2 linked regions of the Arabidopsis thaliana genome follow. The protein of the gene in region 1 interacts with the protein of each later gene in a pairwise test. Each region holds a gene or a part of one and is shown on either strand. Other genes may lie near its edges.

Region 1 (3,759 bases):
AATGAACGTACGTAAGAAAAAGTATTTTACCTTAACAAAAAAAAAGTCTGCTTTTGTCGTATAGGATATATACCTTTGCATGTTATGACGAAACCCTAGTTCATACACCATATATGTATATAACTATAAATAATTGAATTTGATTTTAAGAAGAAATTAAACGAACCTGCAGATTTGGCGAGAGAATTCCAAACACCATCGCCGTGGTTGGCGATATAGTTGATAAGAATAAGATCTTCTTCCATCGTCCATGGTCCTTTTCTCACTTCTGCTTCTGCTGATGATCCCGAACCTCCACTACTTCCTCCTCCTCTTTTCTCCATTTTTTTTGTTATTATTCTTTATTTACTTTATTATATACGATCAAGTTTTTAAATATATTTTATAGATTTAGAGAGAGAGGAATATAAAAAAAAAAGAGTGAGAGAATAAGAGAGAAAGATGTGGGTGAGTTGATATTGAAGGTTGTGGAAGGTGAGGTACTGCTTTTATAGAGACTAAATTCACCGCGTGATTACTAACCCTTAATTAATCTAAAGTCTTAATTAATTATGTTTTACCTTAATCTTAGAGTGTTAATTAATCATAAAATTAATTTATGTATTAGGGGTTATTTTCATCCTAAACACTACTAATAACACATGCATGGGGACTATCTATGTATATCTCTTCAAACCTAACCAATTATAACAACATGGTTTCATTATTATTTGTTTTGAAAAAGGGTTTTAATAACATGGTTTCATGACTTTCATCCATCCATGTAGATATGTATATTAAAGACTGGAGACTCTTTGATGCATTCATGCATGGATGATGCAAGACATGCATGCAATAACATACATACGCGTGATTTTTGGTTTGTATATATGAATTATCCTCGCACCAACTCATGGTGTTACAATCTTAACCATGGATGATGGAAGTTATATATCAAGATTGTTATTATACATATGTATATCCCTCCTTCTACATATCTTATCTATATAAGATAATTAGCTATAGTGGTCCGTTTTGTTTGTTTCTAAATTTGCATAAACTTTAAAGGTGTAGAGAGGAGGTCTTCTTGGGCTTTTTTACCATCAGATATTTCTCTTTCACAAACAAAAAGACAAAAGAAGGTGGAGTAATTATAAGCTTTCTTGTCCTCTATAAACTGATTTGTTAGAATGAAGCTTAGTGATCATAATTAATTATCTTGTTAGTTTTAGATTAGCAGTCGATTTATTAAACGCTATTTCCTTTATATATGTACTAATAAAAGTTACATAGTGGCACACATAACATTTCTTGTTTCAATTATAAGTTAACTAAATGATTTACATAGTGGCACATATATCAGATTTAATGTTTCAACATGATATTACTAAGTAAACTTACGAAGACAATCAGTTAAATAAATGATTTTTTTGTTTCGCTAGTGGATTGAACGTGGAACATCCTTTCGCACTCAATCTGTAACATACAATTCATATAATTAACTTTTGTAAGTCTCCATATTAGTCTTGATTTAAATTTTATAAAAAAATCAAATTAAGTTTCTGTACACATATTGAATTTAATCGGGTTGCTTACCGGTTTAAGGGATCCTTCTTTTTTTTTTTCCATTCTAATTTTGGACAAAGCCCGGTTTAAGAGATCCAAAGACTTCATAAACAGACTGCTTGCCGTTTCACTTTTTTTTCTCAATCTATTTCTTCCATCGTTACCACACACAAGCCTCGACGTACTAAGTTTTCGGCATGAGACTCCTTGTCGTTTCTTTAGTCAACCATATTGTCCATATATTCAAGTCATAGTTGACGAAAAAAAGATTGGATGGTAATTAAATTGGTAGAATAAATTTGCTATGTACTTCAACAACTCAATGATCTTTATATGCTTTTGTAGTAGGGCATGTCTCATAAAGAAATCGATAAAAGTACATTAGTTTACTACTTTATAGTAATAAATAATGACGCCAAATTAACTTAATTAATTGTAGGTAACTGAACTTATTATACTCTATTAGTAAACAAATTAAGAACATGACAAAGAAAGTACAAATTAAGATGGAGACGCGACGATCTTGACACTCTAAAAAGTTATCTCACTCTAATCCCAACCAAATTCGAAATCCATTATCTTAAAGTGAAAAGTGACTAATTCCTAACCAAAAACACATCCAAAATTAATCAAATGTATGGTCCTTCACACTTCAAGTAGCAAATACTTGCTTTTGTTGCCACATCCCATCTCTTTTCATTTTTAATGCGATAACATGCGTTTATCAAGATTAAAAACAAAAGTCCTGATTAGATAGACTTTGACGTGACCATATATATCTGCCAACATTATTAATTTAGTTTTTCGACAATTCAACATCAGTTTAAGAAATAGGTTTTGAGTTATAAAATTAAAACATATAATTTTTTCATTAAATAATTATGTTAAGCACAAACGCAAAAATCAATATTTGTCTGTTGGTTTTTGGCTTTTACATTACAATTAACGATTTTTTTATACTTAAGATGCTTAGTTTGTTAGTTCAATTGAAAAGAACAAAATAAACGTTTGGGTACGAGTCGAATATGGGTAGACCCAAGGGCCAAGTCCATGGTACCGGACCCGTATACCAAACATCTGAATTGGTGCACTTTTATTTGATAAGTAACTTTAAAAAATAATAATAACTATGTTATCTTTGAGGAGGTGAATGATCTATGGAGCTAATAAGACCATTAGATTTTCATATTTGCAAAATAAAATAAAAATGATATATTTTAGATTTTATAGCAAGGGTTATGAGTGATTGAAAACCTACTCGTTAAAGCATAACTAAATAGTTTCCATATTTGAAAGGGCACATAATTTGGCGTATCATACAAAAGTTTAAGTACACTTAAGCCATTTTTAAGAAACCCCATTATTTGTGGCTACGATTTAATTAAGTGGAAACGACTCTTTTCTTAATTACTTCCCTCTTAAGCGCGTTATATGCACTTCCCTACTGGCTAATGTCAACTCTCAAGTACTAATCATTTTTATTTTCTTGTTACAAAAAATCCATTAACTTCCGAATTAACAAATTTACTACAAGCTTTATGTACACCAAGTAGAAAATTGTAATTGAAAATTCCAGAATTTAAAACTTTGAAAATCACAATTACCAACATATTACAAACTAACATCTTCTGTTAATTTGTTTTTGAAAAGAGAAAATTTAAAATTTCCAAAATTATATTCGTTTTCATATGTGTGAAAATTCTAGTATAAATACTCTATCAAAATGTTCTCTATTATCTAAACTTGAACTCGTGTTTTTAAAGACACTAAAAAAAATCTACTAATACACTAAACGAGTTATGCAGTAATTTTATCTAATATTGGTTGGCTACGCTTTCAAAAATAAAAGATTTTTAGTGTTAACGGAAAAATGTGAATAAATACGTGTGGTGATACAATAGTATTGGGTTTAAAAAACATGACGTAACTTTACAAAAGTTTTTTTTCTTACTACAGTTTCATATTCGGTTTTATCCCACATTGAGTCTACTGTCTACGTGTGGGCAAGCTTATAAAACCTTATTTACTAAGGTTAGACTCACTTTAGTGATCTGCCTGAAGCTTCGATGAAACTTAAAAACCTAGTGTTAAATATATGAATAGTGGTTCCAATTTTGTAATCGAAAAAGAAATTGTAATTGTTTGTCGTACACACTAACTAAGGAAGAAGTCGGTAATAGAATACGCGTAAAGAGGCGCGTGGAGAAGAGGAAT
Region 2 (3,759 bases), about 12 Mb from region 1:
TGTTTCGGTGTTACCGCCTAACCAGTTTAGTTTATTTATAAGAGGTTTAAGCACTTTGTATAAGAGTATTGGTAATTTTTGGTTCAGATGGAATAAAGCGAAAAATTGTTAGATTTGAATAGCCTAAACCAGAGAGAGTTAGGTTTGGTATGGCTTAGGTTACTATTTTTTAAGAAAGTAGTAAACTGAATTGCCTCGTGAAATGCCAAAAACTCAAATTCTCAAGCATGTAACATGTATGATGTATGTATGAAGATTAACCAGCATTGTCATGTGTGATATAACATCATAAGTCACAAAAAGCAGAGTCCATGGTGGTTGAGAAGCTTTTATATCTGAAAAGAGGAAAATTAAATGCCGCCAATGAAATCATTTAATGATATAACTTTAAGGAGAGCCGTGAGACCAATAAACAAAAGCAAGAAAAAAATCAATAGAAATTACCAACAAATTAATTAGCAGAGATTTGCAAACTTTAAACTAATACTGATAATTAAGTCCTTAACCCCTCCCGTCGGTCACGTGATCATCACCGTTAAGATTACGACACGTCACCAAATCACAAAAACCCTTGAAAAGAAAACCCCCAAATTTACTGCGGCTGAAACGGCGGAATTCGAACGCAAGATTCTTGTTGTTCCTTCTGTCGCCGGAGCTCCATAACTTTCCGATGAGAGTTCGAATGCTGAGTCAATACAAACGTCGGACTCGACGCCGGTCTGTATTCCGGTACAAGCCTCCCTGATTTGTAACGAACTCCACAAGCGTTACAAAGTGTTTTAGGTCCAAGCGGTCCAGTTCTCCACTGTGGCGTTTTCTCCGAGGCACAGTGCGTGCACCGCCTCGCTCCATCCGCCGTAACCGATTCAGCGTTGTAGACTTTCTTCGGTTTAGGTTTAGCGACGGAGTGACAAAGCTCTGATTCAGACATCGGAGCCCAAGTTCCAGCTACGGAAGGTGCTGGTGCTCTTGATCGGCGACTTCTAGGTTTTCCGGTGAATGAAATCTCGGGTCTAACGGTCATGGTTAAAGGATTTGCTGGGAAATCGGAGAATGAATCGTCAACGAATCGCGATAACCATTCGAGATGAGCTGCGTCGTCACTCTGCAAAACTCAAAATCAGAACTTAGAAATTCAAAATCAAAATCAAAATTAGGGTAAATTGAAATTTGAAAACGTACGGGAACGCAGAGATCGTGAGTGAAGTCGGTGAGGAGAGTAGGAGAAGTGTAGGTGGAAGAAGGAAAGCTGAAAGGGTTTTCGGAAGAAGCGGCGGAGGAAGCGGCGGAGGAAGTGACGGTGGAAGAGGAAGAGAAGATTTCGTCGTTGGAGAAATCGAGAAGGTCGTCGATACGAAGCAAGTCCGGTGAAGACATGCCGTAGACGTCCATTGTTGACTCGGACTCGCTTACTGAGTATGTATGTGGTCACTGGTTCAGAGGTTTAATATAGAGAGAGAGAATTAGTGTAAGTGAGGAAAGAGACGAAGATGAGAACGTGCATAGAGTTAGCATGCACCGAGACTGACCTGACCACTCCCTTTTTTTCTATTTATTTATCCACTTTAATATATTTGTCTACATTTTTCTTTGAACATGCATGTGCTATTTAATTTACTTACCAGAGGATTAATTAACCATGAATTACATAATGCATATACTAGTCTTTTTTTAAAAACGCATATATTATAGATCGAGCTTATATTCTAAACAAGCATTTTGAAAACATTTCTTTCAAAACAGACACTCTAAACAGTAAAAGCATATAATACTTCAATTTTTATTGTTACGGACATTTTTGCCCTTAAACTATGAACTGGAGTTGAGAATGAGGTGAAAAGAATGTGTTTATCTTCTAAAAATTGTATCCCCATCTCTGATTCAATTTTAAGTTTCTTTTGACATCCAAAGATATATGGCTTAGATAGTGGACTTGCAGCTTCGACGGTAGGCATGAAGCTTTGACGATAGCACAAAGATTTGGTGGTGGTTCACGGCTTTGACAACGAGGGGTAACGAACGGCGTCAATGGTAAACGCTATACCCTAGAATTAGACTTGTAAACCCAAACCGTCAAATATAGAGTATGCAATTCTTACATACACACAATAACACAACACTACAACCATCCTCATTATCATCAAACACCATTAACATGAACAAAAATCAATGTACTTGTAGACATGATTATGAACATCAATTGAGCAATCAACAAAGTATCAATCACTTCTTGAATTCCTTAACCTGCACAAAAATCACTGAACAAAAAAACGTGCAAATCGTAATACTAAATCGTGGGACTTTTTTGTTTCTTGTTTTTTTTTTCCAGATCTCAAAATGTGGGATGTTAAAAATCTAGATCGCATTCACATCTCATGAGGACCGATTGTTAGTCGTCTGAATTTCCAATCGTCGCTGACATCACTCTGTAATCAATGACTCCAAAGTTGTTGGTGTTGGTCGCAAGTATTTTTGATTTCTAGTGTAAAACGTAAAAGTTCATCAACAAAGAAAGAACAACATCATCTCTCTGTAAGGGTAAAAACGACTTTCCCCAGGAAAGAAGTGCCTAAATCTAAAGATCATTTCAAAAGTGCCTAAAATAAAATATATATCTAAGACAAATGCCTTATTTGCAATAAACTCATTATAGATCATAGTCTATAGTTTTATTAATTTAAACAAGTAATGAAGGGGAAATTAAATAAATGCAAGGTTACTAATTTTATTTTTTTCAATAAGCCTCTCTCCCTTTTGTTAATTAAATTCTTCTGCCATCTCCTAAAAAGGTTTTCCGATTTTTTTTCTTAATTTTGTTGAAATTTGTGAGTTGGATCATTTAGTATCCCGTTGAGTTTTTTTTTTTTTTTATGTTTTCTTGTTCAAAGAAAATAAAATAATATTCTCCGGAATGTGTAATCAATCATAGAGTTGAATTTCAACATGACCAAAACAAGGAAATAGAGAACAAAATTGGCTCAACAATTTATTAATACAAAGTGATGCGAATGTATAACTATCTTGTTTCTTGTGCTTACATGAATATTTCGCATTTTGCAATCACACTTACAGAAAAAGAAAGAGACACAGAAGTGGGACTAGCTTCGATCGTTGTAGAATAGAGTGTACACAAGTATCTAATATCATTCTTCAGTAACCTAGCATGTCTTTCACAGGTTTGATTAATAACTAATGTGATAACGTTTAGAAATATCCTTACTACCAGAAGTAACGAAAATTTAGTTTTGATAAAGAGTTGTTTTGACATATTATTTTAAACATTGAAGAGATAACTATAAAAATGTAGTGGGGAATGGGAAAATGGATGGAGACAATGAAGGAGATGAGTCGACCGACGATCCGAAGTGCATTGCACTTTGGTTCTATAAATTCCTATGGCCCTCTTTTTAGGTTTATATATACATATTTTTTCCCTATCATTTATCTTCTTATGTCTCTTTCATGCATTGCTCCTTCATTAATTTATTCAGTTTTTCAACTATACAGAAACTACTCATATATGTACAAACACGCACGGCACATGCATATGATATAAAGAATGGGGAACCAATTGTTGCGAACATTGTGTTCATATTCGGCTAAAATATAAACATTCATATGCATCACTATCTTGTGTTCAATTTTTATGTGGCACCGCCAATCATCATAAGGCTCTAATTCGGGCAGATGTATCTGATTTCTTATGTCTTAACCATCTAATTACAAGGTACAATTGAATTAGAATTTAGGTAAATACAT

Evidence for each region.
Region 2: the proteins of MYB21 (region 1) and GATA4 interact in a two-hybrid assay, tested with the Arabidopsis thaliana proteins (one large-scale study listed by BioGRID).

Annotation. Positions count from the first base shown.
Region 1 is NC_003074.8:10,304,160-10,307,918, reverse strand, and holds the start of MYB21 (myb domain protein 21), read right to left. Parts: upstream 2,071-3,759; 5' UTR 324-2,070; coding exon 167-323; intron 1-166. Other genes in the region: AT3G27809 (uncharacterized protein), read left to right, coding at 173-219.
Region 2 is NC_003074.8:22,370,981-22,374,739, reverse strand, and holds GATA4 (GATA transcription factor 4), read right to left. Parts: upstream 1,728-3,759; 5' UTR 1,393-1,727; coding exon 1,183-1,392; intron 1,106-1,182; coding exon 593-1,105; 3' UTR 186-592; downstream 1-185. UniProt on the Arabidopsis thaliana protein: Transcriptional activator that specifically binds 5'-GATA-3' or 5'-GAT-3' motifs within gene promoters. May be involved in the regulation of some light-responsive genes.